Linked DNA regions of Sus scrofa. The protein of the gene in region 2 interacts with the protein of the main gene of each other region in a biochemical or structural test. Links are inferred from orthologs where the notes say so. Each region holds a gene or a part of one and is shown on either strand. Other genes may lie near its edges.

What was found.
Region 1: of the proteins of MAPT (region 2) and SGK1, one has a biochemical effect on the other in vitro, tested with the Homo sapiens proteins (3 studies listed by BioGRID and IntAct). The link is inferred for Sus scrofa from reciprocal best matches to the Homo sapiens genes MAPT and SGK1.
Region 3: of the proteins of MAPT (region 2) and PPP2CB, one has a biochemical effect on the other in vitro, tested with the Homo sapiens proteins (2 studies listed by BioGRID). The link is inferred for Sus scrofa from reciprocal best matches to the Homo sapiens genes MAPT and PPP2CB.
Region 4: the proteins of MAPT (region 2) and ACTG1 form a complex in vitro, tested with the Homo sapiens proteins (2 studies listed by BioGRID, with this or other methods). The link is inferred for Sus scrofa from reciprocal best matches to the Homo sapiens genes MAPT and ACTG1.
Region 5: of the proteins of MAPT (region 2) and CSNK1D, one has a biochemical effect on the other in vitro, tested with the Homo sapiens proteins (4 studies listed by BioGRID). The link is inferred for Sus scrofa from reciprocal best matches to the Homo sapiens genes MAPT and CSNK1D.
Region 6: of the proteins of MAPT (region 2) and MARK4, one has a biochemical effect on the other in vitro, tested with the Homo sapiens proteins (2 studies listed by BioGRID). The link is inferred for Sus scrofa from reciprocal best matches to the Homo sapiens genes MAPT and MARK4.
Region 7: the proteins of MAPT (region 2) and HSP90AA1 form a complex in vitro, tested with the Homo sapiens proteins (3 studies listed by BioGRID, with this or other methods). The link is inferred for Sus scrofa from reciprocal best matches to the Homo sapiens genes MAPT and HSP90AA1.

The regions. Positions count from the first base shown.
Region 1 is NC_010443.5:29,624,353-29,628,626, reverse strand, and holds the start of SGK1 (serine/threonine-protein kinase Sgk1), read right to left. Parts: upstream 2,842-4,274; 5' UTR 2,219-2,841; coding exon 2,150-2,218; intron 1-2,149. UniProt on the Homo sapiens protein: Serine/threonine-protein kinase which is involved in the regulation of a wide variety of ion channels, membrane transporters, cellular enzymes, transcription factors, neuronal excitability, cell growth, proliferation, survival, migration and apoptosis.
Region 2 is NC_010454.4:17,100,531-17,103,474, forward strand, and holds part of MAPT (microtubule-associated protein tau), read right to left. Parts: intron 1,755-2,944; coding exon 1,547-1,754; coding exon of another isoform or gene 1,539-1,546; exon of another isoform or gene 773-1,538; coding exon 759-772; 3' UTR 1-758. UniProt on the Homo sapiens protein: Promotes microtubule assembly and stability, and might be involved in the establishment and maintenance of neuronal polarity.
Region 3 is NC_010457.5:54,294,456-54,298,657, reverse strand, and holds the start of PPP2CB (serine/threonine-protein phosphatase 2A catalytic subunit beta isoform), read right to left. Parts: upstream 2,873-4,202; 5' UTR 2,500-2,872; coding exon 2,398-2,499; intron 1-2,397.
Region 4 is NC_010454.4:1,318,870-1,323,205, reverse strand, and holds the start of ACTG1 (actin, cytoplasmic 2), read right to left. Parts: upstream 2,852-4,336; 5' UTR 2,708-2,851; intron 2,333-2,707; 5' UTR 2,327-2,332; coding exon 1,964-2,326; intron 1,674-1,963; coding exon 1,235-1,673; intron 1,140-1,234; coding exon 958-1,139; intron 867-957; coding exon 723-866; 3' UTR 1-722. UniProt on the Homo sapiens protein: Actins are highly conserved proteins that are involved in various types of cell motility and are ubiquitously expressed in all eukaryotic cells.
Region 5 is NC_010454.4:789,305-792,932, reverse strand, and holds part of CSNK1D (casein kinase I), read right to left. Parts: intron 3,131-3,628; coding exon 2,991-3,130; exon of another isoform or gene 913-2,990; coding exon of another isoform or gene 880-912; exon of another isoform or gene 849-879; intron 1-848. UniProt on the Homo sapiens protein: Essential serine/threonine-protein kinase that regulates diverse cellular growth and survival processes including Wnt signaling, DNA repair and circadian rhythms. It can phosphorylate a large number of proteins.
Region 6 is NC_010448.4:51,686,391-51,690,018, reverse strand, and holds part of MARK4 (MAP/microtubule affinity-regulating kinase 4), read right to left. Parts: intron 3,598-3,628; coding exon 3,438-3,597; intron 176-3,437; coding exon 1-175. UniProt on the Homo sapiens protein: Serine/threonine-protein kinase. Phosphorylates the microtubule-associated protein MAPT/TAU. Also phosphorylates the microtubule-associated proteins MAP2 and MAP4.
Region 7 is NW_018084979.1:919,138-923,507, reverse strand, and holds the start of HSP90AA1 (heat shock protein HSP 90-alpha), read left to right. Parts: upstream 1-1,530; coding exon 1,531-1,692; intron 1,693-1,780; coding exon 1,781-2,147; intron 2,148-2,441; coding exon 2,442-2,575; intron 2,576-2,875; coding exon 2,876-3,196; intron 3,197-3,404; coding exon 3,405-3,570; intron 3,571-3,841; coding exon 3,842-4,032; intron 4,033-4,134; coding exon 4,135-4,282; intron 4,283-4,370. UniProt on the Homo sapiens protein: Molecular chaperone that promotes the maturation, structural maintenance and proper regulation of specific target proteins involved for instance in cell cycle control and signal transduction.

The DNA.
Region 1 (4,274 bases), on a different chromosome or scaffold from region 2:
GAGAAGGGAGGAAGATTAGGGAGGAGATGGGATTTACATGGGTGTTACCTTAATGCTTGACACATTTATTTACATATTAGCAGTGTAATTAAAAACCCAGACCTAACAAAACAGAACAAAAAGCAAAGTCACATAAAAACTGAAAGGAACTTTTGGAAAAGCAAACTTATGGGCAAAAAAAAAAGGGCTTTATCCTTTGCGGTCATCTATGACTTGGCACAAATTCACTTTCTGCTTAGTTTCTGACCTTAAGAAGTAAGGACAACAGGAGGGGGCATTCTGATCAGAACCCAGCAAGTGGAAGACCCAGGGTCTAGGGCAGATATAAAGCAGCACACCAGGTATCTTGTTCTTTCTCTCTGAAAGTACTCAGATTAGACATCAGTGCCCTGGCTAGTTCTTTGCAAAATCCAAAACCTCCAGAGGCACCGGCTGAAGATGATTTGTAAATTATGCTGTTAAGCAAAAAGAAACCAGATAGCAAACTAACACGGTTTTTAGATTTCGATAACAAAGAAAATAAGAAAAACTAAAAAAAAAAAAAAAAAAAAAAAGAAATCTACTTGACAGCTACTTGATTGATTAAAGATATCTGAGGAGATTTCCAATGTCACCCTCACCCCTTCCCTTCTCCCATCAATTAAGAGAGTAGAGTTTAAATACTGGATTATGGGCCACAGCATTTTATTATCAGCAAAACATTTGTTTGGGAAGAAATATCTTGGCTACAGGGAAGGAAATATCTTGGCTACAGGGAAAGTGAAGAAAGATGGTAGTCTTGAGAAGTTGACTTGCTTTGATTCAGCTTAAGTCTCCTCTAGTGAGAGACCTTGCCCGGTGATGAGGCTCCCAGGAGCAGTGGCCAGGACAGGGTGGGTTTCGCTTTGGTTTTAATGCATATGTTTTGGCCCATGGACTTTCAGGAAGATTTTGCTTTACTGGTGAGAACTCAGTTACAGGCGTGTAAGAACCCGTGCCCGCCCTCTGGCTGGGCTTGACATGCCGTTTCCAGCCTTGCCTTCCCAGCTTGCCCACTAGGTAAAGGCACCAGAGGTAGTCTAGCCCAGAGTGTAATTCAATGTTTTCTGCTGGTGGCTTAAGGAAGGGCTCTGTTTCAGGAATGACACAGAAAGGACCTGAATGAAGGGACAGAAGAATGAATGAAAAGAGCCATTTTGATGGAATTGCCCTGGGTATTAAGTGGGCTGGGGCAGCGAGGGGCTGGAGGACACGTCTTTTGCTGAAGAAACTCTCCATAAAAGTGTCAGTCATCAGTTACTTAACAATGATTCATTTCTTACCTCCCACTTGTGTACAAATTTGCAGATTTACGCAGATCTCCCGTGTGACCATTACAATGAACCAAGTTTCTTGTGAAACACACAAAACAGATTCCCCTCCTTTTTTTCCTTTTGCTCATTTACAAGCAATGTAAGGTTAAACCTCTTACAGGGAAGAACAGGGAATTTAAGAAATAAAAGTATACAGCTGCCTAACCCTGTATTATCACTTGAATTCAGACTGCCGACGAAAAGAAAGATGGTCCTACCAAGTAAAATTAAGGCAACTTGAAAGAGGATTTAAAATGCTGGATTCCATCATTTCTGTAAAAGGTCATTCTAGTCCTTTGCTATTTTTACCAAAGATAGAGACTCAGCAAGTTATTGGCTGGATGGATTTGGGAAGCCAGAAACTGCTGCTTCTGAGGAAGGAAGATGATAATGCAGCACTTGAGACTGAGTGAATGAAAGGTGTGAGAAAAGTTGAAGCCTTCAGAGATAAGACACAGCCAGCGCACACTGCTGAATTAGTCCTTGACTAAATTCCTAGCCATAACTGTACCCAGGCCAATTCTTTTTGAAACTGCTTGCAGCCTTGTGGCTTTGATTGAGAAATGCCCATTCCCAGCTCAAACCCTCCTTAAGACATCCCAGCCCAACCCCCTTCTCCCAAAGCCAGTCTCCTCAGGCACCCCCACCTACAGATTTGCATCAAGGCAGGTACATTTCCCAGCTGGACAGAGGCTACCAGAGACGCGGCTTCCATTCAAGGTTCTGCAACAAAACCTTAGGCTTTACCTCCAGCAGGCAATCAAATGCATTTCAGACAAGAGCAGAAAACAAAAGAAACAAACAAAACCTGTCCTTACCCGCTTCTTAAAAAATTGGAAGGCTGAGCATTTCTTGACTGGGAATCCATTCATGTCTTTGTTTACCATTTTCCACAGTGGGGAGTTCACAGTTATAAATCCAGGGTGGCCCCCGCCTGGTCAGTGCATCTGGTTCCCGGTTTGCCTCCTGGAGATAGTTAACGAAGACGGAGCGGGATGGAGAATCTAGCGGGGCTCAGGTTTTCACTCACACATTCTGCAGCACCGGCTACTGCAGCAACCTCTCCCCACTCTCAGTTGCCAAGGGCAGTGGCTTTTCTCTTTCCATCATTGCTCCGACACGCAGGCATCACGGCTGCAGGACCCCGGGATGCAGCGGATTCCGGGGAGAGGCTCCAGCTGCTGCCAACTGGGAGAAGGGCACCCCCTGCGCGCCCCCAGCTACCTGGCGGTTCTGCGGCGGGCGCGCTGGGAGAGTCGCTCTGCTCCAGGTGATGCGTTTCTGGAGGCTGCTGGAGAGGAGAGCTGTTTTTGATTGTGCAAGTTCCAGTGGGAGCTGTAGTTAAGCAGCTGAGAGAAGGAGTAAGAAAGAGCAGAAGCCAGAGGGAGGGAGGGAGGGAGAGCGGGAGAGCCGCGCCAGAAAAGCAGAGGGAGAGAGAAAGCGGCGCTGGAAGACGCAGCGATTCATGAATATCTGAGCAGCTGATGGAGAGAGGGCACCAGCTCCGGACACACTGAAAAGCAGTTGACTCCCCTTAGAAGGGTTACTTTAATCGTTTGCTTTTCTTTTCTTTTTGTTGTTAGGACCATTTACATCAGACTTTCATGTGAAATGCAGGATGTTTTTTATTTTAGGCTCATTGAAATTCTGTTGATATGGATTCCTGGGGGAAAAAAGCCTCTCAATGGAAATTTAATCAGATGCATTCCTGATCTGGCCAAATGTAGAGAAAAAGGAAATAAAGTGCAAGTGTAGGTGTAACAATAGATGGTCTCTCACTATGTACAACCTTTCTAGCATCCTCTTCCTACTTGTCACAATATACTGGGCAACTGTGAACGTAATTGTGTGTGTGTTTTCCACTACAGAAGCCTGCTTTAAAAAGGACACAATGAACATATATACAAAGTGTTTTATGCAAAAACCACAAAGAGTATTACCAAAAAAGTATTCCTGAATGCATTTAATGAAGAGGAAGGATTCCCAGTGAGTAAGAGAGGAAAGCATTTTGTCTATCAAGTGAAAAATCTACCCCTCCAAATTTTTACTCATGTTACTCTTTGCACATTAAATCCATTTTAAAAAGCCATGTAATTTGTGTGTGGTCTGTTTTTCCATTTTTATTTTGTTGGTATTTTATGGGGGGGGGTTGTAACAGAGTTGATAGCTAAAGAGAGAAAGCAAAGAAAATAATCTTGGCTTCTGATTGGGCACTGCTATGACATCTGTGTGTGGCTTTCTGCCAGTTGCCTGACCTCACAGTGCCTCTCAGACGGTGCCTCATCCATGAAATAGAGGCAGTCGCGCACTCATTCATTCACGCATTCATTTATTTAGCCATTTACTTGTTTGCTGTGTCATTCCACATATCCATTAAATCAAATCCAAATGTAGCAAGTGTCCCAGGTTGTAGAGCTTTTTCAATGTCACTACAGAGGAATGAAATCAATACGTAAGGGAAAGACACCAAGTCTACCTGATCACAGCCAACTCATTGAAAACAGCAGACCTAACACTGTTAACATGTTTATATGACAGTCTACATCAAGGAGAGAAACATACAGCTTAAGTGGGGAAGAGAGGCATTGATTTCATTGAATTGGGGCATCCATCAGTCTTTAGAGCTGGACCAGGTATTTTGGGGAATAACAATGAAATCCTGTCAGCTAAATGCTTTGAGATTTCCGAAAGAAAATGCAGCACAACCAAATGACTGGGCCTTATGATTGAGAGAAAATGAAATATTCATTGTGGAGAAATACGTTAAGTAGATCAAGATGCAAGGGGATATTTTATTTAATCTCCAACATCGATAGCTCTTTGTGGTTCTTCTAAAGAGTTCATATAAAATTCCAGCAGTTCAAAGAGAATTTTTGAGACTGGTAGGAATGTCCTCTATCATGATGATGGAGGAGGTTATGTGACTATGCATTTGTTAAAACT
Region 2 (2,944 bases):
CATGGGGGGTAGAGCAGCGGCCGGGCTCTCAGAGGCTGGCAGTCACAAGCTGAGGCAGAAGTGGGGATGGAGGAAGCCCGGCCTGGCCCTGAGGGCCTTGCCTACCTGTCCCAGCGCCATCTCTGGCATCCAGGGCAGCCGACCCGCTGCTAGCTCAGCACGGGAGGGGGGCCAGGCTTCTGGGAGGAAAGGCTCACCAAGTCAACGAGTCATTGCGAACCCCACCCTGGCTCACGTCTGGGGTGGGGGCAGGGAACCGAGTAAGGTCATCAAGGGTCACTGTGAGGGACGTGCCAGCGGGATGCTTCGAACAGAAGACTGAGGGCCCCCACCCAGTGTCCAAACCTCGCCCTCCTTGACTTTCCCCCTCGATGCGGAGATGCCTCCCCATCTAACCACGTCCATTACTGAAGTGGGGGGGGAGGCTGGGAACTCGGGACAGTGACATAATGAGGGGAACAGGCAGTGACTGGGCTCCGCACAGCAGACACACAGGCAGGGCAGACAGGTGGCTGCTGCAGTGGGCGTGGGAGGGGTGAGAGGCTCAGGACCCCCCTCCCAGACCCCGCACACTCCAGAGATGCCACAGGCCCAAGCCTGGGAACAGGCGGACGTCCCCCAAGAGGCACAAGTCCTTACAAAGAGAACTGGTTAGCCCTAAGGTCCCAGATCTGTGAGGTGGCCAGAATCGTGGCTGTGGTTCCAACCTTCAGAACTCAATAAAACAGGGCTTCCTGGGGCGGAGGGAGCCCCTCAGCTCAGGACCCCCATCCTGCAGGGAGGGAGGAAGAGGCCACCACTGGGGACATGGAGCCAGTGGTCTTGGAGGAAGTCATTCACAGGATGCCACCCTCCGGCCCACTGTCCCTTCAAAGGCGTGGGGGCGGGGCTCAGAGCCCTCCACCTCCAGGCTGCCCTCCAGAGGGTGGCACGCCCACCATGGCAGACACCAAGCCACCTCCTCCCCTGTGCCCTTCCTCTCACACCCTCCCCCTGGCACAGTCCCCTCCGCAGCCTCTCCCGGCCCTGCAAGCCCCCACCCCATCCTGCTCCAAAGGTCGCCCTGTGCCTGTGCTCCACCAGTGCACCAAGTTTCCAGTCCCTTGCCACCTCTGAAACCCCCCACCCAGGACGGGCCCCAGGAGAGGTGTCCCTAGGCCCTCATGAGTCCCCAGAAGCAGCTTTCAGAGCCTCTCCCCCTCCCTCTTCCACTCAGAGGGGGGTAAAAAAAATCAAAAAGTAATTGCCCAGGGAAATTCTGGGTGTGGCCATCTTTTTAAATGTTTTTAAAAATATTTTATTATGACTGGCCCACCCATCAATTTGGAAAGATGAAATCCGCTCTTATTCCCGTCACTGATTTGGAAGTCCCAAGCCAGAGCTGAGTGACAATGCAGGTTAAGTGATTAACCGATTAACCGATCTGTGAGGAGCAGCTGGGGGAGGGCAGAGGGCGAAGGGCCAGATCATTATTCTTTTTTTTTTTCCACACTCTCACTCTCCTCTCTCTACGATTACTGACCGCCCCGGGGCCCTGATCACAAACCCTGCTTGGCCAGGGAGGCGGACACCTCGTCGGCGAGCGTGGCGAGCTGCGGGGAGTCCACCATGTCGATGCTGCCGGTAGAGGAGACATTGCTGAGATGCCTGGGGGACGTGTCCCCTGACACCACGGGCGACTTGTACACAATCTCCGCCCCGTGGTCCGTCTTGGCTTTGGCGTTCTCGCGGAAGGTCAGCTTGTGGGTTTCGATCTGCAAGAGAGGAGCGGGGGGAAGGTGAGGAGGGGAGCTGGGGACCGTGGGTGGGAGGCAGCCCAGGTGGCGACCATGATTTCATCATTTCCCAACAGCCAACACGGGTCCAGGGTGCTGGTCACTCGCCAGCCAGCCGCCCAGGTGCCCACTCCAGAGGCATGACCAGTGTGAGTGTCTTGGGTCCCCTTCCAGAGAGGCCACACATGCAAACGTGTGTGTGAGTACAGAGAGGAAAGAGAAAAAAACCACCTATAATCCATATGGTAACAACACCCACGTGCTTTGCACTTTCCATCCCAGGTAACAGCTCCCTCAGCTGGTTGACCCTGCGGAGGGCTGTGTGGTTTCCCATCGTAGCAGATGTGCCAAAATGTATCTAGTCCCCTGTGGGTAGTTAACTGAGGTTGTCCCAGTCTCCTGCTCTCCCAGACAATGCTGTGTATGAGTAACCTTGAATAACCTTGTAGGTACATCATTTCACACATACTCTTAAGTGTATCCTAGAAGTGGAATTGCTAGTGGGTCCAAAGGCACGCATATTTTCTTAATGCACACACCTTGCCAAATTACAAATGAAAATGTTGAGGAGTTCCCATCATGGCTCAGTGGTTAACAAATCTGACTAGCATCCATGAGGACGCAGGTTCAATCCCTGGCCTTGCTCAGTGGGTTGAGGATCCGGCGTTGCCGTGAGCTATGGTGTAGGTCGCAGACGCCGTTCGGATCTGGCATTCCTGTGGCTGTGGTGTAGGCTGGCAGCAACAGCTCCGATTAGACCCCTAGCTTGGGAACCTCCATATGCCGCAAGTGCAGCACTAAAAAGCAAAAAAAAAAAAAAGAAAGAAATGTTGAAGGGGAGGCTGAAGAAGACTCAGGGATGTGCCCAGGGCCCCTGCCACCCAGCTTGGAGCCACACACATTCCTCCCCTTTGCCAGTGACATGACACAGGAGGTGGCAGCAGCTGTGGGCGGCACTGGCAGGTGCCCAAGAAAACATGATGCAACAAAGTCCTTTTTAAAGTAGAGCTGGTTCCAAAATATACAAACAGTTCACAAGCTCAGTATCAAAAAAAAAAAAAAAAAAAAAAAAAGAGGGAGCTCCTGGCGGCCTAGCAGTTAAGGATCCGGCATTGTCACTGCTGTGGCTTGGGCTCAATCCCTGTCCAGGAAACTTTCGCATGCCACGA
Region 3 (4,202 bases), on a different chromosome or scaffold from region 2:
CTGCCACCGTCACACTTCTCCAGTCCACTGGCAATCCATCAAGGTGGTGGAGGACCAAGACAAATGACTGGGAATTTTCACTTAAAAATTCATGCTTAGTGGGCAAGTACAAATATTCAAAGAAAAAAAGTAAGACATAAGGTTAGATATATCTCAAAGGTCCTAGGGATTGGTAGTTCAATTCAGGAGCTAAAGTTAAAATAATCTCTCTGGACAAACACAGAAAGCTTCCTCAAGTGATTAGGATTCAAGTGTGGTTGAGGGGTAGAATATTCTTCTCCAGAAGACATCTTAAATTTATTAGAGAATTAAAGGGAAAAACTGATTCAACTGCCAACTTTGTCCATAACTTCAAGTCTTTATCTACTGTTCACAGTGAGGTGAACTGACTCAGCTAATTTCAGAACTGAATGTTTCACCTGACACTGGAGCCTAAGAGAGCGTGAATTAAAATGTAAATTCTAAGACATGAAATTACAGGTTATCACACAAGAAAACTGAATGTGGAACTTGAAGTGGTAAGTAAACAGCCTGTTTCAGGGAAACAAAAATACCATTTGCTTGGCAGTTCTATTTACAGAAATACACTCCTGTGTTAACAAATAGTTATTTAACAGACTCACAGATACAGAAAACAAACTTATAGTTACTAAAGAGGATAGCGGGGGAAGGGGGTGAAGAGGTAAGTTAGGAGTTTGGGATGAGCACACAAACACACGACTATATATAAAACAGGTAAAAACAAAAATGTGCTGTACAGCTCAGGGAACTTTATTCAATATTTTTGTAATAGCCTATAATGGAAAAAAAATCTGAAAAAGAATACACATATATGTGTGTAACTGAGTGACTGCTGTATACCTGAAACTAACACAACATTGTAAATTAACTATACCTCAATTCTAAAAAGTTACATATGTATGTAGACCCTAAGCAACAATACATGTAACTAAAAACACTATTCTTGGGAGTTCCCACAATGGTGCAGTGGGTTAAGAATCTGACAGCAGCAGCTCAGGTCTTTGCAGAGGTCCAGGTTTGATCTCTGGCCCACTCAATGTGTTAAAGGATTTAACTCCACAGCTACAGTTTAGATTTAACCCCTGGCCCAGGGAACTTCTATATGCTTGGATGCGGCCATAAAAAGGAAAACAACAACAACAAAACAGCTATTACTCCTCCATTCCTAAGATGCTTAATTTTAAGGGTGTGCTATAAACAACATTGACAAAATCTTTCCTTCTTCAATGCTTTTCGGAGGCATCCCGGCTTACAAACACAATGATCAAGAAAGTCTTATGGGTCATGGCTTAAAAATACAAACCAATCAAAAGCATTAAAGAATAAATAACTTTGTTACTCCTTCATATGAACCTTTTTACATAAAAATGTATTAATATTATTTAGGCCAAAAAAAAGGTGGAATGAGAAAAATAAACTGTAAAATCTGAAATAATTCGAGGTTAAGAAAACAACGAATATAGGACTCAGAAAGTGGCCTAAAATCACACAATCAACAGCGACTGTAAACAGTTAATTGCCTGCATATTTTACTACTTTTTGGAAAAAAACAACTTAAATATGTAATAGAAATAACTTTCTGAAAAGTGTTACCCTGCACGTAAAACACGTACCCATTGATCATTTCATGCAAGCAGTGTTGCCAAACTTAAGACTAGCCGTCCTGTTTCTGAAAATCAACATTTTTGCTTCCAGAGAGCTTCTCAATTGAAGAAGACCAGTCACCATCTGTCTCAACCAAAGTCAACTTCTATTTTAAAAATCACAGTCCGCCATCACACCCACCTCTCTATAAACAAATGCTTGATACATTTCAACTCGATGATTTCTGAAGGACCGAGTCACCTGAGAAAACGGCTACGTTTATTATATCAAGGGCCTTGAGATTCACAACGTCCAGGTTCATTTTCAACTACGAGATTGCCTAGATTACCCTGCCAGCCAGCTAAAGCGCGGATTGCTAGTCCGCACGGAAATACTGGAGTGTCAGCAAAACCCAGAAAACAGTCGGCGCCCCAATCACTCCAGGAGTGGATTCCGGGTGCCACGTTGCCCCCGCCCACCTACCCCGGACCCCTTAGGCCAGGACTGGGAGCTTCCAACCCCAGCCGGGTGCTGGGTCTCCAGGGGGTCCAGGAACAGCCCGGCTCCTCCCGGGGGAGGCTGCCCGAGTGGGAGACGCAGCCCCGCAGGTCCCAGACGGACGCGCCGGACAAGGGACAAGCAGGCCAGGAGAAGAGGTGGGGGGGAGGGGGGGAGGAGAAAGGGGGAGGGGAAGGAGGGGGGAGGGGAGAGGAGGGAGAGGGGAGAGGATAGGTCCCAGCCCCCACCCAGCCTGTCGCACGCCGGCCGCATCTCGCCAATTTTCTCTCTTACCTTTTCGCATAGGGTCCGCACTTGGTTCTCATTAAGCTGTTTACACTCGTTCAGCTGCTCGACCCACTGGTCCAGCTCCTTGGTGAACGCCTTGTCGTCCATGGCGACCCGAGCCCCTCCCCCGCCGTCTCCCGCCCCCCTCCCCGCCCGCCCTCGCCCCTCGCGCCGCTCCCCTCGCCCGCCGCCGCCAGCTCCCAGTGGGAGAGGAAGGAGTGGGGGAGCGCGGCCCCGGACCCCGCGCCCCGCCCGAGCCCCGCGGGCGGCTCCTGGCGCGCGGCCTTCGGGAGACCCCCGCCCGCCCTGGCCCGCCGGGCCGCGCGCCCTGGGCGTCACTGGAGGGCGCGGGGAGGTGCGGGACTTCCGCGCAGCTCCCGCCGGATTATGGCCACTTGCCGCCGCCGCCGCCTCCCGCCCGCCCGCTGCTCTGGATTCCCTTGCCCCTTCTCTCTCGCTCTTTCTTTCCCCTCCCTCTGGGTTTCCGTCATCGCCCGGGCATTTCCGCCGGGAAAAGGTTAGCAGGCGGTGCCGCCGGAGCCCGGGACTCGAGGAGGGGTACAGCGCCCCCGTGTGGCTCGGCGGAGAAACGGTCCCTTTCCCTTCCATCTTGCACTTTATCGACCAAGCTCTCCCAGTTCTTTCTTTACATAATTTTACGCAAGTCTGTACCCACTATAGTTTCCTGCAGTGCTTTTTTCCCCCTTTTTTTCTTCTTTTTATTTTAGCGTTCTGTAGAGGGGATTGGAAAGCTTGTCCCCCTCCTTGACAACATTGTCTCCTCAGAATCTATCACTCTCCCATAGCAGGTGGTCAACATTTGTTGAGAAAAAAAATAAATTCTTTCTAGTCTTACCTCTGTTATGAACTAGCTGTGAGGCACTGACATCTCGAATCCCCCCTTTCAGCATCAGAAAGATGAGATGACAGCTCTGTGTTTTACCAATCAGTGTCCCAGCTCCCTCATCCTCCACGGAGTTGACTGCAGTGTTTACTGAATTCTCATGATTTGTTCATGCAACAGATACTTAATGAGCAACTGCTAACTGCCAGATCTCTTGAACAGCTAATGCTTACCAAGTTGACTTCCTATATTATAGTTGCAGATTATTGCCACTGAACCCAAATGGGAGGCAGCCTCTTGTATCTGAAGGCAAGAACTCCCTCCAGCTCCCTCTTGGCATTGCTAGCCTCCCAGCCAGGTCCTTGGACAATCACCAAAGCTCCCCCAGCCTCAAGTTCATCATCTGTTAAAAGGGGGCAATAAGCCCTTTTCAGGTTATCATGATTAAATTCTACAAGTGCTTATCCAACAGTAGAGTTTGGGAGCCATGTTCCTCTGTTTCTTGCCTTATCCCTCCTAGGCAATAGCTACAGAAAACTTTAGAAGGGTGGCATTTTTTTTCTTTTCCTTTTGCAGTGGTTTGCTGCGGGGTCTCAGTTCTCAGACCAGAGACTAAACCCCAGCAGCATCAGCGAAAGGGCCGAGTCTTAACCACTGGACCACTAGGGAAACCCTGAGAGAGGTGGCATTTCAACTGAATTTTGAACCTTCTCCCTAAGCAACACTTTGGAGTTCCCTGGAAAAGAGGAAAGGAGTTCTCAGGATTTTGGGTTTTTTTTTTGGAAAGTGGCGGAGAACAAATGTGTGCAAGACCATGGTCTCTTTGGAAAGCTACAAATACTCCTAATAACCGAAATAGGTCCTATGGTGGAAAATAAGGCTGGAAGAGCTCCTGTTCTCAAGTGTCTTGTAAACAGCAGCAAACCAACTGCAAGACAGAACATGAAAAGGTGGTAAAACAATACGT
Region 4 (4,336 bases), about 16 Mb from region 2:
GCACTTTATTTCCTCACAATGACGCGTTGCTGGGGCCTAACGTTCTCACGTGACAGTAGAAAACCAAAATCTGTTGTCATCTCTTAAGGAATTGAGAATTGCGTACAAAAACCTTACATAAATTAAAAGGATGAATAAATTTACAGGTGTGAATGCAAACGCTTCCAACTCAAGGCAAGTTAACAACCCACGGTTTTCTGGCGGGCAAACATCGGGGAAGAAAGGACAGTGGGTCCTAAGGCTCGGACCTTCCCAACCCCGTCAGACCGGCAAGACAGAAATGACAACTGGTTCAGGACTCTTGCCAGCCTCGAGAGAAATCCTGGAATAGGAGCTCGGACACATGAATACCCTGCACAGATCGGAGAGACTCCGTCTCAGATTCTCAACCAGCCAACGGATTTCTCTTCCACGATAAACAGGTTCTCACCTCAGCCACGAGGTGACAGAGCCGCGTGTGTGTAACTAGGGGTTTAAATCAAAGATATGCACAGGGTATTAAACAGAGACCAAGGGAAGAGTTAACTCGAGTACAAGGTCAAAATCAGCAACAAGGTCTACAATCCAGTGCTGATACCAGATACAAGCTTCAAGGACAAATTTCTTTTCAAAGGCTTATTCCAGTTTCAGGAGGCTGGCATGAGGTGTGTACATTTGCCAGGGCAAACTTTATTTCTGGATTAGCTCATGCAGCAAATGCTACGCATCTGCTCGCAGTCCGTCTAGAAGCATTTGCGGTGGACGATGGACGGGCCCGACTCGTCGTACTCCTGCTTGCTGATCCACATCTGCTGGAAGGTGGACAGCGAGGCCAGGATGGAGCCCCCGATCCACACCGAGTACTTGCGCTCGGGAGGCGCGATGATCTGGGGAGACAAGGGCGGGACTTCAGTCTCCGGCAGCCAAGCCCTGGGTCCCAGCAAGGCCGCCTGCCGACCCCACGGCCACCCGACTCACCTTGATCTTCATGGTGCTGGGCGCCAGGGCCGTGATCTCCTTCTGCATCCTGTCGGCGATGCCGGGGTACATGGTGGTCCCGCCAGACAGCACCGTGTTGGCGTAGAGGTCCTTCCTGATGTCCACGTCGCACTTCATGATCGAGTTGAAGGTGGTCTCGTGGATGCCGCAGGACTCCATGCCTGAGAGGCCGACAGAGCGCCCCCTTAGCGGTCCCCCGTGCAAGGGGATGAGCCCCCGGGCCCCCCCCAGGCAGGCCGCGCTGCCCGACACCTACCCAAGAAGGAGGGCTGGAAGAGCGCCTCTGGACACCGGAAGCGCTCGTTGCCGATGGTGATGACCTGGCCGTCGGGCAGCTCGTAGCTCTTCTCCAGGGAGGAGGAGGACGCGGCGGTGGCCATCTCCTGCTCGAAGTCCAGGGCGACGTAGCAGAGCTTCTCCTTGATGTCCCGCACGATCTCCCGCTCGGCCGTGGTGGTGAAGCTGTAGCCCCGCTCCGTGAGGATCTTCATGAGGTAGTCGGTCAGGTCCCGGCCAGCCAGGTCCAGACGCAGGATGGCGTGGGGCAGGGCGTACCCCTCGTAGATGGGCACCGTGTGGGTGACCCCATCCCCAGAGTCCATGACAATGCCAGTGGTGCGGCCAGAGGCGTACAGGGACAGCACGGCCTGGATGGCCACGTACATGGCCGGCGTGTTGAAGGTCTCGAACATGATCTGGGAAAGGCAACGGCTCCTTAGTCAGAGAAGGGACCCCGGGCCACCCCATGCTACACACCATGCCGACATGCCACAAACGTGATGTGATGTGTGGAGAAAAGAAAAGGAAGCAGGCAGAAACACAAACGAGAAACCTTGAGACTTCAGGAAGGAAATGCCAGGAGAAGAACAGAACCCTGAAAATATCGAAAGAAACACTTGAATTTCAGGAAAAAAAACCCAAAAGCTCAGCACTAAACGACTCATGAAACGGATGGAAACGGCCCACTGCACCCGGCAGCGCCTACCTGAGTCATCTTCTCACGGTTGGCCTTGGGGTTCAGGGGGGCCTCCGTGAGCAGCACGGGGTGCTCCTCGGGGGCCACGCGCAGCTCGTTGTAGAAGGTGTGATGCCAGATCTTCTCCATGTCGTCCCAGTTGGTGACGATGCCGTGTTCGATGGGGTACTTGAGGGTCAGGATGCCCCGCTTGCTCTGAGCCTCGTCGCCCACGTAGCTGTCCTTCTGGCCCATGCCCACCATGACACCCTGGTGTCGGGGACGCCCGACGATGGACGGGAACACGGCCCGGGGGGCGTCATCCCCAGCAAAGCCAGCTTTGCACATGCCGGAGCCATTGTCGATGACCAGCGCGGCGATCTCTTCTTCCATGGCGATCTGCTCAAAGGCACGAGCGGCTCAGGCGCGCCCAGCGGCGCCGGGACGGCCCCTGCAAAGGCCCTGCCCGCGAGACGCTCCGCCTCCCCCCGGCCCGGCAGCGGAGAAACCGCCCGGAACCGGGGCCGCCTTTTATGTAACCCCCCCGCCCGCCGCCGTTCCGCGGCGGCGCGGCCCAGAGCGCTCGGCAGTGCGGCCGGACCCCACCCAGCTCCCGCCCCCGAGGGCGCCCCCACTGCGGACCCCGGGGGCCCGCCCGGCCGCCCCTTTTGTTGCCAGCGGCGGTGAAGCCGGGCCTCTGGGGCCGGGGCCGGGCCTGCGGAGGAGCGCGAGAGCCGGACACCGGGCCGGAGCTGCGCAGGCCTGGTCACCTACCGGCGGAGACGGCGGCCGCGGGGCGCGGAGGAGCGAGCGGAGGAGCGGCGAGAAGACACGGAGCGCGGGCCGGCTGCGGCGAGCGAGACCGACCGCGGCCTCCCCCGCCCCTATTTAAGCGGAGCGGGGGGCGCGCGCGGCCCGGCGGCGCGCGCGGCCCCAGAACATGTCCATATATGGCGATCTTTCCGAACGCCGGGCGCCCATTGGCCCGGCCGGCCGGGGCACGTGGGGCCCCGCGCCCGGTCCCGCCCCCTCCCGCACCGCCCCCAACCGCCCCGCCCGCGCCGCCCCCGCGCGCCCGCGACCCCGCGCGCGAGACCCCGCGCGGGGCAGGCTAGCGGGCCGGGCTGGCGATTCCCCCCCCCACCGCCCCCGGGGTCGCAGGGTGGGCCGCAGAGCTGACCCGCCGGCTCCGCCCCGGGACTGTCGCGCACCCTGGGGGAGGGCCCGGCTGCACCCCGAAACTGCCTGGCCCGGGGCTGGGCGGCACCGGGAGCAGGGTGTGTTCCCGCGCCCCGCCCCCGCAGGGGGGCTTCGCTCCCCGCGCGCCCCCTGCGAGTTTCCTCCCCGAGGCTCTGCAGGGAGCTCGGGCCGCGAGGCGGCTTCTCGGTGCTGAGCTGGGGGCGTGGGGGAGGGGAGAGGGCGGTGGTCGCCGCCGGTCGCCGTGGCGGCACTGTGGGCCCGGCGGTCCGGGGGAGTCCCGGGGAGCCGTGACCTCGCCCTTCTCACGACGAGAAGGAGCCGCCCGTTTCCTAGCGCAGCCACCACCGCCAAGGCCCCTCCGCCGGTGTCGGGGCGCCGGGGGTCCCTGATTGTGCAGAGACAGGCCCCGTCCTACCACACCCAACCAACGCATCCTGCGCCTCAAACCGCAGACCCGATTGTCCCCAGGCGGCGGCTCCTCTCTGCGTTTGGGGCCACCCCCTCCTCGTCCGCGGGGGAGGTGGTGGAGTTTTGCTCCATTTTAATTACTTTTGAGTGTTGTATGGAAACTGAGGCAGGGGCTACCTGAATCATCACCTTCCCCCTAGACTTGAGCGGGGCACCCTCTTCTCTGTTTATGATACTAGGAAACGGCCACGCCTGGAGTGGGTTTCCTAGGCCTCAGTAACTCTGGGGCTGTGGGTCCAGTCGGCTCCAGGGCGCGCCCTTTTCCCCAGGAGGCTGGTCTTGAAGTCCTGTCACTGCTGGCAGGGTCTTGGTCACACCTGCTGCCACCAGTGCTTTGGTTATGCCCAGAGGGAACCAGGTACTTTGGAAGCTTTCGGGATTGCTCAGCACGGAATTAAACATCAAAAGAGCCACAGGGAAGAGAGAGCACTGGCCAAGAGGGGTGGCAGTGGTGCCGGGCAGACCGAGTCTGGGGCCTTGTCAGGGTCCCAGTATGCTTGGCTGGACCTGGGCAGGTGTCTGCCGATGGGGGGGCGGGACCAGGTGCCCCAAGAGCCCTTCAGCTGGTGTTCACATCTGCGTTGGGCTAGACAGGTAAAGCCGCTGCCCAGCTCACCTGGGGGGGAACCTCTGTCACCCAAACGCAATCCATGCCTACGGCCACCTGTGCCACCAGGCCTAGCTGGGTACCCGACTTCCCAGACTTTCCAAAGGCACAGGGCAAGGCCTGGTGTG
Region 5 (3,628 bases), about 16 Mb from region 2:
CCGGTCAGGCTTGGACACACCACCAGGGACAGTGCCCTGGCACAGGGGACAGACACCGCCTGGCCCCTCTGCACGCGCACCCCCAGCCGCTCCGGAAGGTCCCTCTAAGGCCAGGACACGTGCAGCAGAGAAAGTGACAGAAGACGGGGAGGGAAGGAGAGCCATGCAGGCGAGGAAGCCCGGCGGCGTGGGGCCGAGAGCCGGTCATCAGACCAGGGCCCGAGCGGAGAAGGGACGCTTGCTCCCAGCCGCTTCCTGGAAAGGAGCCTGCTGCTCTGAACACAGGACCCAGGCCCCGGTGGCCCTGGGGCTCCGGTGGGCAAGACCTACGAGCACTCCCCACCGAGACGCCCCCAGAGAGCAGCGCCCAGCAGACAGAGCCAGGAGGAGCCACAAGAGTCGCTGCCGAGAGGAGCAGCGTGGACGCCCAGCCATGCACCGACGGCAGGGAGCAGGCGGCTGTGGCTGATGGGTTAATGCAAACGAGCGCGTGGACGAGGTGCTGGGCAGAGACCGAGCTCGCAAAGAAAAGCAAACGAGGACGACAGAGGTCAACGCTAAGGAAGAGAGATGACAAAGCCGGGACAGCCGAGACCAGGAGTGTCTCCCGCAGCGAGAGCGCAGGGGCCCCCCTCCCCCTGCGGCCCTCTGCCAGCACGACGGGACGCACGTCCACACCAGCCTTCGGGGCCACGGGAGCCACCACCGGGCTCCCGCGCCCCACGCCGGTGCCAAGGGCCAGCGGACAGCTGCCCCGGAATCCGCCTGAGGAGAAGACCTGGGCCAGGGGCCTCGCCCGCTGGCGGCTCCTGGCATGCAAGCCCCCCACCCGGCCTGCGCACACTCACCCAGCGCTGCCTTCCGACGGGAGCCGTGCAGCTACTTGCCGTGGTGTTCGAAAGGAATGCTATTCTGAGGTGGGGGGAAAAGACAGCTGTTGGGGAGGGTTCGCGGCGGGACCAGCACGGAGGCCCCTCCTCCTTCCTCCTGCACCAGCGCTGCCTGCGCGAACCAGGCCCCCGGCCGGGCCTCTCCCCGCGGAGCGGCCTCTCAAGAGTGGTCCCTGGACCTGCCGACACGGAGCCCGCCCCCAGGGCTCAGGCTGTAAGAGGACGGGACCCTCGACGGCGGCCCCTCCATCGGCTCTCACACCCACGGCTCCCCGAGGCCCAGGCGCGCGAGGGCTGGACGCGGGGAAGAAGACCGGGCTCCGGGCCTCGGGGGGGCAGGGGAGGCAGGGATTCGCACAAGTCAGTCCCTGGCACCAGGAGCCGGGATCGTGTCCCTCGACAGCACTGGACGGAGGGGGCACTTCTCAGAGAAACGCCACCGCCAGGCTCGTCCGCCAGCAGCCCTCCGCCGTCTCCGCGGCACTCCAGCCACGACCAGGGACACAGGCCAACGTCCCCCCGCCCCCAGCTGAGATCAGCAGGCCTCCTCCCTAAGGGGCAGAGGCGGCTAGGGAAGTGGCCACCCCAGCCCACTGCGACCCTGCACCCCTGTGTCACCACCCCTGCTCCGCTCGCATCTCTGGGGGAAGAAGCCAGACCGAGCCTGGAACAGCCCTGATCATGGAGGCCCTTGGCGGCCAGGAACGGCGCCTGCCAGCAAGAGTGCCAAGGGATAGAGCCGTCCTGGATGGAGGGGACTGGGGCTGTGCCCTCAACGCAGAGGTCCTAAGGAGACCCCGGGGGGAAGAGGGACAAAGTGGAGGCGCCCCATCCTCAGAGCCACGGCACACGTCTTGGTAGGAAAGCAGAGAGAGAACAGAGAGCAGAGGCAGGCCCTCACGGGGAGACTGGGCAGCAAAGCCCAAGGAGCCGGCGGCAGAGGTGGTCGCAGACCCGAGGCGCTGGCGCCCCTGAACCCCTGGCGCTTCCTGATCCTTCCTTGTGTTAAAGCCAAAGCGAGGCCTGCCCTCCTTCGTCCCAGCCGAGGCGCTCTGGGCCCGTGCCAGGCCACTGAGGCGTGCATTCCAGGGCTCGTGGGAACACACCCGGAGGCCCTTTCTGTGTCCCGAGGGAGGCAGGATGGCTGGGGGCCGGGAGCCGCATGGGGCCGATCTCGAACCCCTGACCAGAGCCTCTGTGCCCCATGATTCCGACCAGCTGCGTCTCCAGCCAGAGAGAAGCTTAATGGGCGAACAGCAGCCCGTTTCCAGTAGAAGTGCCAGCAAGCGACAGGTGCCCTGTTTACTTCACGCAGTTAAGAAAACGTGGTCGGGGCACCTCCTCTGCTGGGCACACCCGCCCTTTGCCTGGCCAGCCGGCGCTGCAGAACCAGGCTCTGGGCACTTCGCACAGGCCCTGTGCCTCCAGATCAACACGCTCAACCCGCCAAATTCACCGACAAGCTACCCCCAGCAGACAGCATGGGGTGACCCCGGCCCCACGGGACACTGGCTGAAGCAGAGAAGAGGCCCACCTGGACCATTCTTCACCCTGCCCGCCTCCTGCCACCCACGCGCAGAAGACCTGCCAGCACGCAGGCGAGGAGTGGCGCTGCTGGGCAGGGACAGCGAGCAGAGCGAGTGGGCACAGGGCGTGGCTAGAGAAGACATGGCGCCGGGCGCCTAGGACGCCCTACAGTGACTGCCGGCGGGCGACAAGGGCTCTCCGCGGGGGTGGAGCGCCCGGCTGACAAGAGCGAGGACAGAGGCTCGAAGGCTGGGCCAGGCGCGCTGCAACACCAGGCGCCCACAGGCTGGGGGCGTCCGCCCAGGGAAGACGGCGCAAGAGAAGAGGCGCCAGCGGGCGTCCCAGCACAGCCAGGGCGCAGCCTGGCCCCAGAGCTCGTCCCTGGGGCCCTCAACCGAGGGCCCCACGGTAGCGAGGGACACGAGGTCCCCGGCAGTTCAGACGCTCCGAAGAGGGAGAGCGAGAAGGATGGAAAGCAGGAAGCCTCCGAGGCCGTCGCCCACTGCGGGGGCCGCAGGACCGGCGCGCAACGCGGCTGCGGAGCGCAGGGCCCGGTGGCGGCCGGGCGCGTACCTGTGAGGTGGACATGCGGGAGGTATCTTGCCGGCCCGTGAGGTCGGACGAGGAGATGTTGACGGGGGCCCCGCGGTGCAGCCGCATACTCACTTTCCGCTCTCTTTCCATGCCGGACACGGGCCGAGGAGAGGTGTTCGCTGGAGGAGAGGGAGACAGGGCAGCGTGAGGCCTCAGGACGCGGCCCCACACTCCGCGAGGGCCTCTCCTCGGGAGCCGTGTCTCACGAGGACCCGCGGCCACGGCTGCGCCGGCGTCGGGCTGGGAGCGCTGTTGCACCCGGACTCTGGGCCGGCCCTGCGTCGGGGCCCTGGCAGCACCCAGCTGACTCCTGGGAGCCAGGCGTCCAGCGGGAGGGCGGCCGAGGCGACGGGCGAGGAAGAGAACGGAGGGGTAGGTGGTGGGGAGGACTCAAGTCTCGAGACGAGCGAGACGACAACGCGGAGCTCCCGGGGGGGGACGCAGCCCTTCAGGAGGCCAGCACCCGCCAACAGACACTACCAGCCGCCCGGGCACCTCGGGATAACAACCGACGGGGACGGGGACCTACAAGGTCACACGCTGGCGCGGCCGGAGCAACCGACACGCGAGCCGGAGGGCCGGCCGCCGGCAAAGCGGGTGGCGGCGCATGCTGGGGC
Region 6 (3,628 bases), on a different chromosome or scaffold from region 2:
TTGTTGGGGTTGTGGGCACTGCTGACCATGGGGCTGGAGGGGGGCAGCCCTCGGCTCCCGCTCCCAGCAGCACTGCAGCTTGCCTTCCGGCCTGGCAGGCGCTCCTCCTTCAGTTCCGCCTCCCCTGTGCTGGTTGGGCTGCGCTTGGGGTGCAGGGGTGCGGGAGACGGACCACCTGGTAGAGGAAGGCGACAGTTATGGCTGGCATGACCTGGAAAAGCCAGAACCTACTCTGGGAAATCCTTGGGATCTTAGAACTCCTTATCGCCTACATCTGTGTAGGCCATTCTGACAATATCTGTCAATGTGACACAGACATGTGTGAAAGTGACCCAGAGGTGCCACATAAATCACATGATGCACATATGTTACTCACTGCATGCTTCTTTTTTTTTTTTTAAAGCCAAAAGACTGGGAACAACCTAGATGCCCCTTTATATGGGGAAACTAAGTCAGTCAAGATACTGCCACACAATGGAATACTATGCAGCTATAAAGAAGGTCCCAACACCAAATGATCTTCAAGACAGACTGAAGTAGAAGAGGCAAGGCAAGGTATAACATCTACAGTGGGATGTCGTGTAGAAAAGGGGGGAAAGTGGGGAGTTCCCATTGTGACTGGCAGGTTAAGAACCTGACTAGTATCCATGAGGACGCAGGTTTGATCCCTGGCCTCGCTCAGTGGGTTAAGGATCTGGTGTTGCCACAAGCTGTGGCACAGGTCGCAGATGTGGCTCGAATCTGGCGTTGCTATGGCTGTGGTGTAGACCAGCAGCTACAGCTCCAATTCGACCCCTAGCCTGGGAACCTCCATATGCTGTAAATGTGGCCCTAGAAAGAAAAAAAAAAAGGGGTGTTTGTGTCTCTAACTCTATATTTGTTTATAAACAAATGTTGCCAAGCGGCTCTCATTTCTATTAAAAGGGGATAATATTTCTTGATAGTATAAGTATATTAAATATTGTATTATACATCTTCGTTCATTTTTTCTATCTTTCTCCTCCTTTTCATACCTGTCTCTTTATATATTTACATATGAGTAAAACTTCTCCAAAGGAATTCATATAAAGCCGGTAACAGTGGCTGCCTCCGAGGAGAACTGAGGGCTGGGAGATACGAGTAGGACAAAGACTTTTTTCTTTGTTTTCTTTTGTTTTTTGGCTGCACCATGGCATGAAGGAGTTCCTAGGCCAGGGATCAAACCTGTGCCACAGCAGTGACAATGCTGGATCCTTCACCTGCTGAGCCACTAGGGAACTCCAAGACTTTTTAGCTATTTACCTTTCCTGTGCTATCAAGTTTTGAAGGAAGTGACTGTATTAGTTTCAAAAACAGAGCAAAACCAGATTGGTTCCTTAGGCCATCTTGGGAATGTATGGTTTTAGAACCAAGGGAGTTAAATATGTCCTAGAACCCCAGACCGTTAGGACTTCTGCATGGGAAAGCCTCAAGAAACTTAATGCTCAAAAGTCCCAGAACTGGAGGAGCTCCCTGGCGGCTCAGTGGGTTAAGGATCTGATGTTGTCACTGCTGTGGAATAGGCTGCTACTGTGGCAAGGGTTCAATCCCTGACCCTTCTGCATGTTGTGGGCATGGTCCAAAAAAAAAAAAAAAGTCCCCAAATCATAAAAAACTCTACAATGATGGACACAGGGGGCCCATCAACCATCCTTCACACAGAGAATCTCAGAATCCAGGGTTTTTTTTTTTTTTTTTTTTTTTTTTTGGTCTTTTGTCTTTTTAGGGCCGCGCCCATGGCATACGGAGGCTCCCAGGCTAGGGGTCCAATCGGAGCTGTTGCTGCCAGCCTACACCACAGCCACGCAGGATCTGAGCCCTGTCTGCAACCTACACCACAGCTCACGGCAATGCCGGATCCTTAACCCACGGAGCGAGGCCAAGGATTGAATCTGCAACCTCATGGTTCCTAGTCAGATTTGTTTCTGCTGTGCCATGATGGGAACTCCCCATGTGGGGTTTTTGAAAGGTTACCATGTTCTAACCATAGGATGTTGGAGTCACAAACTTCTTAGGGACTTTCTGGACCAATCTTGCTATTTTATACGTGGGAAAAAGGAGGCCCAGGGGAGAGGGTGGCCTGACCATCCAGAACCAACCTTTTTCGGTTCAGGACTGATACCAAGCTTCCCTGAGTCCCCTCTCCCAGTGCTAGTGCCTGGTCCAGAGTAAAGAACACCCCTGGAGAGAGGCGGGGCTACAAAAATAACAGAAAGTTGGAAATTGCCTTGGCAGTTCCTTACTGTGAAACATAGAGTTTACCAGATGACCCAGCAATTCCAGTCCTAAGTAAGGCCCAAGAGAAATAGAAACACAGATCCCCACGAACAACGTGTACATGAGTGTTCACCGCAGTGTTATTCACAACAGCCAAAGGCCGAAACAACTCAAATGCCCTTCGGTGGGTAAACAAAATGCGGTGTATCCGCGCGATGGATATTCAATAAGAAAAAGGAACTACGTGCTGATCCTGCTAAACGTGGATCAACCTGAAAATAAAATCCTAAGTGAAAGAAGGCAGACAAAAACATTCGGAACTGGGAAATCTAGAGACAGAAAATAGATCAGTAGTGGGCTGGGGGTTGGGACGGGTGGGGATCTAAGTAAAAGGTCAAAGGCTGAAGGTTGTAGAGTATTTTCTGGGGTACTGACAATATTCTAAAGCTGACTGTGGTGACGGCTGCACGACTCTTGATACACCAGCACCGCTGAACGGCACACTCTCAGTGATGAATTGTTTGGTGTGTGAATTATATCTCAATAAAGCTATTTAAAAGTATTAGGAGGGTTCCCATTTGATGAGGGCCTCGGTAAGAGATCTCTTAGAAGTTCCCGGGTCCCACTTGCAGTGGATCTACTTTCTGTAGGATATGAGATATCGGTTAGTTGCAGAATGGGGGGTACAATCAGGTGTCTGCCCAGCCCCTTCCCACTAGGAAGTGTGGAGGACAGGCCAGAGGGCAGGCTCTCAGCAGCCGTTTTGTACAAATACGTGTCCTCTTGTGTCCTAGTCAAATGGATTAATACCAACTGGACCCTGATAGCAAGTGGACCAGGAAGATCTCAGTTACGAATTGAGCTGGTCTCTAAAACGAGTCGTAAGGGCCTGGGAAGGAGATACGGTGAGTTACGTAAGAAAGAAAGCAACCGGACAAGCCGAGAAGCCAGACACAGAGTGTCCGCTCCGCATTCATCTGCTTTTCCAGCCATGACGGGAACTCCGGCTTTTCCAGTTTCTAACGCATTCCTGAGCCCGGGTGCCCCAAGTTTCATACACTATCCCTGCACCTTTACAGAACATTCCTCCCTTCGCTGCAGGTGGCCTGAGCAGGTCTCTGTGCCTTGCTGCCCAGAGAATCCTGACGGTCTGAGGCCTCGGGCCCAGGGACGGCAGGTGAGCGCGTGGGGACCATACTCACAGAAGTCGCTGTGCCTGCGCTGGCGGTGGTAGGTGGAGGAGGAGCTCCGCTGCCCTTTGCTGTGGCTGGTGCCTTTGCTGGAGCTTGTTCCATTGGTGGTGTCGCTGGGCGCCCGCACCCGTGCCAGGGCCAGCCCCGGGGCGCCCCGGTCCCCACCCTCCTGCATGAAGATGACAGACAAGGAACCTCAG
Region 7 (4,370 bases), on a different chromosome or scaffold from region 2:
CTTGTTCACCAAACCGGAATTCCAGACCAGGACCCGCACCGTGTTTAGGACAAATCCCCACGGGGTTCGAGCATGGGCTTGAGAATTCAGGACTTCAAGTGTCCCTTTCATCGTTTCCGCGGTGCACAGTGGGGTCCCCAAGTCCGTGCAGTGGCCTGCGACTGCCGTGTCTGTGGGGTTGGGGACTCTATGGCAATGAGGGAAGAGACCCTCGCTCCCTGTCCCACCTCAGCCTCACAACCAGCCACATGGAGACCGCGAAGCGCTGGGGCTCCCCTGTGCCCCCCATGCACATACGCTGGTCACCCCTCTTGACACACCTACACTCCACGATGGGGTGAGAACCCTGGGACTCCGCATAACTAGCTCTGCCTGGCATCTGCTGCCCCACTTCCTGTGCCCTGAACTTGTAATCGCTGCCTGGGGCCCCCAAACTCCCAACCTGCCTCTGAGCTCTAATCACCTCCACACGCCTATAAAGGTGGCGTCGGACCCAGACCCTTCAACCCTGCTTCGATCCCCTAAACCTGGCCCCTGGCCCCCAGTCGCGGGCGTGACGCCGAGGGACCCGAAGCTTCCACAACGTGGGGACATTCTTTAACAAGTGAAAAGTTTACTTTTCTGGACTTCCCAGAACCGCGGGCACGGGCCTCCATCCCCGGTCCGCACGCTCCGCGCCTGACTGGGGCGAGGGGCCGCCCGCGGCCTGCGCAGCCGCGCTCTCCGAGCCGGGGTCGGGGGCCCGGGGCGGGAGGGCGGGGGACGGGGCCCCCGGAAAGCGCGAGACTTTCGCGAGAGTTCCAAGCCACGCAGGCGCACTGCGGCCGGCGCGGGCGCGCGCGCCGCGGCCGCGGAGGACGGGGCGCGCGGGCGGGTCTCCGCGCGGGCCTGCGCGCGTCCGGGGAGAGGCGGGAGGCGGCCAGGGCGCAGGCGCGGGCGCGCGGCCGCGGCGGCGGTTGGGGAGGGTTCTTCCGGAAGGTTCGGGAGGCTTCTGGAAAAGGCGCCGCGCGCTGGGCGGGCCCGCCTCTATATAAGGCAGGCGCGGGGGCGGCGCGCCAGTTGCTTCTGCGTCCTGGTGCTGCGTCGCCGCGGAGCCCGTGCCGTCCTTCAGCCAAGGTGAGGGGGCGGTTGGGGGGCTTCGGGGGCGCCTGGGGGCCGGCGGGCGGGCCCCGAGTCCAGCCCCGGGGCGGCGGGGTGGCGGGGCCGGTGCGTCCGGGCGTCTCGCAGGCCGCGGGCCTGCCGCGGCCTCCCCTCCCCCCGCCGGCAGCGGGCGGGCCTGGGCCGCGGCGGGGCCGGGGCCGTGCGGAGGCGCGGGCCGGGATCCCTGGGCCCCCGAGGGAGGCGAGCCCCCGGCCCGGCGGGCGGGCGGGGGCGGCGGCGGCCGGCCGGGGGCCCCAGCAGCTCGGGCCGCCGTGCACACGCTCGGGGCCTGGGCCCGGAATGAGGTCATCCCTTTGTCAGCCGGCGGCCCCGGATCCCGCGGGGACGGCGGCGGCGGGCGCGCTGGAGCCGGCTCGGTGTCCCTTCCAGATGCCCGAGGAAACCCAGACCCAAGACCAGCCGATGGAGGAGGAGGAGGTGGAGACGTTCGCCTTCCAGGCGGAAATCGCCCAGTTGATGTCGTTGATCATCAACACTTTCTACTCGAACAAGGAGATCTTTCTGAGGGAGCTCATTTCCAACTCGTCCGATGTAAGTTGCCTTCGGGATTGGGCTTTGGTGTCGGTGTGAAATGCACCATTTTGGGGTTTCGGGCGTAATCATTTGCGGGTTTTGATAGGCTTTGGACAAGATCAGATACGAAAGCCTGACGGATCCCAGTAAACTAGACTCCGGAAAAGAGCTGCACATTAATCTCATTCCGAACAAGCAAGACCGGACCCTCACGATAGTGGACACCGGCATCGGAATGACCAAGGCCGACTTGATCAATAACCTTGGTACGATCGCCAAGTCTGGGACCAAGGCGTTCATGGAGGCTTTGCAGGCCGGTGCCGATATCTCCATGATTGGCCAGTTCGGTGTCGGCTTCTACTCTGCGTACCTGGTCGCTGAGAAAGTGACCGTTATCACCAAACACAACGATGACGAGCAGTATGCCTGGGAGTCTTCTGCAGGAGGATCTTTCACCGTTAGGACAGACACAGGTAGGCGTCGGTGGAGGGTGGGGTGCTGTAGACACTGGACCCCAGGAGATACTGTGCAATTTGTGTTAAAGATTAGAAAAAAAAACCGTTTTTGTTTCCCTGAACTGAGATAGCCTGACGTCGTGGTTATTTATCTCGGGCCTGGCCCTTAATTGCTCAGGGACTATTTTCTTCTGTAGTAATCTTGCTCGGGACAGTTCAGTGTTATCTGTGGCTTTGAGAGCCGAATGGGGGCTGCTTTAGTTTTGATTAGGGTCTTAAGATTGAAATTGAGTTTGTGTCTTGCCTTTTCAGGAGAACCTATGGGTCGTGGAACAAAGGTTATTCTACATCTGAAAGAAGACCAAACTGAGTACTTGGAAGAAAGGAGAATAAAGGAGATTGTGAAGAAACACTCTCAGTTTATTGGCTACCCCATTACTCTCTTCGTGAGTATTTGTGCATTTTCTTTGTAGACAGCCAAGTAAGTGAATTGAAATCCTTGCTTTTTAGGAAGAGATCCAAACTTGAGTATTGACTCAAGACTAGTGAAGCGCTCTCTCTTACTGTGTTGGGGTATCTAGGGTTATTTATGTGGCTTTATGAGGAATTGACCAGAAGCTTCCTGGCTCCTGAATGTTTCTCAGTTGGGTGACGAGGTTTTGGTGTCCATGCTGTAGTTCCTTTTAGCTTACTAGTTTTTTAATTTTGGGGGGGAAAAAGGTGATGATTTTGTGTTTCTTTTTAAGGTGGAGAAGGAACGTGATAAAGAAGTCAGTGACGACGAGGCGGAAGAAAAGGAAGACAAAGAGGAAGAAAAGGAGAAAGAAGAGAAGGAATCTGAGGATAAACCAGAGATAGAAGATGTTGGTTCTGATGAAGAGGAAGAAGAAAAGAAGGATGGTGACAAGAAGAAGAAGAAGAAGATCAAGGAGAAGTATATTGATCAAGAGGAACTCAACAAGACAAAGCCTATCTGGACCAGAAACCCCGATGACATCACTAATGAAGAGTACGGGGAGTTCTATAAGAGCTTGACCAATGACTGGGAGGATCACTTGGCTGTGAAGGTGGGTGATTGCTGAAGCTGGCGTCAGCAGGTTGTCTGCCCCAAATGGGTAAACGTGAGGGTACTTTCTGGCAGCTTTCTCTCCCTACCCCAGCCCGGCGTCCCCCCAAGTGCTTTGTGTGACCGCAGATGTGTAGCTGTCAGGTAGCCTCACTTGTCAGCAGGAGTTGCTTGTGGTATGTGTTGCTCACGGCTGTGTTTTATTGCAGCACTTTTCAGTCGAAGGGCAGTTGGAGTTCAGAGCCCTTCTTTTCGTCCCAAGACGCGCTCCTTTCGACTTATTTGAAAACAGAAAGAAGAAGAACAACATCAAGCTGTATGTTCGCAGAGTGTTCATCATGGACAACTGCGAGGAGCTCATCCCTGAGTATCTGAGTAAGTAGAGTTGAGCCTAAGAAACGACGGCTGTCAAATTCATCCTGTCAACCCCGTGCCACGCGCGCAAGTTCCTGGGCCAGGGGTCACACCCACGCCACAGCAGAGACCCGAGCTACTTCAGTGCGTTGCCAGATCGTTAACCCACTGTGCCACCAGAGACGGAATTCCAGACTTGGAAATGCATGGGGAAAACTGCGTTCTCTTTGGGTTTAGCTGTTTGTTGATTTTTGTCGGAGTGATTTTGAGTGCATTTGGCATGCTTTTCCAGATTTCATTAGAGGCGTGGTGGACTCTGAGGATCTTCCTCTGAACATTTCTCGTGAGATGTTGCAACAAAGCAAAATTTTGAAAGTCATCAGGAAGAATCTGGTCAAGAAATGCTTGGAGCTCTTTACTGAATTGGCCGAAGATAAAGAGAATTACAAGAAGTTCTATGAGCAGTTCTCTAAAAATATTAAGGTAGGTAATCGTGTGACAACAGCTGTAACCAAACTACTTCTCCTTTTCAATGAATTTGTTTTTAAGGCCAAGTTTTGTTGAAGCTACCATTGTTTGTTTCAGCTTGGAATACATGAAGATTCTCAAAATCGGAAGAAGCTTTCCGAGCTGTTGAGGTACTACACTTCTGCTTCTGGCGACGAGATGGTTTCCCTCAAGGACTATTGCACCAGAATGAAGGAGAACCAGAAACACATCTATTACATCACAGGTAAGGCGAGATGGGTGTAATCGTCATGCCTCTTGCTCTGGGATTCCATAGGAACAGCTGGGAGTTCTCTACCCACATGGTGCTGCGT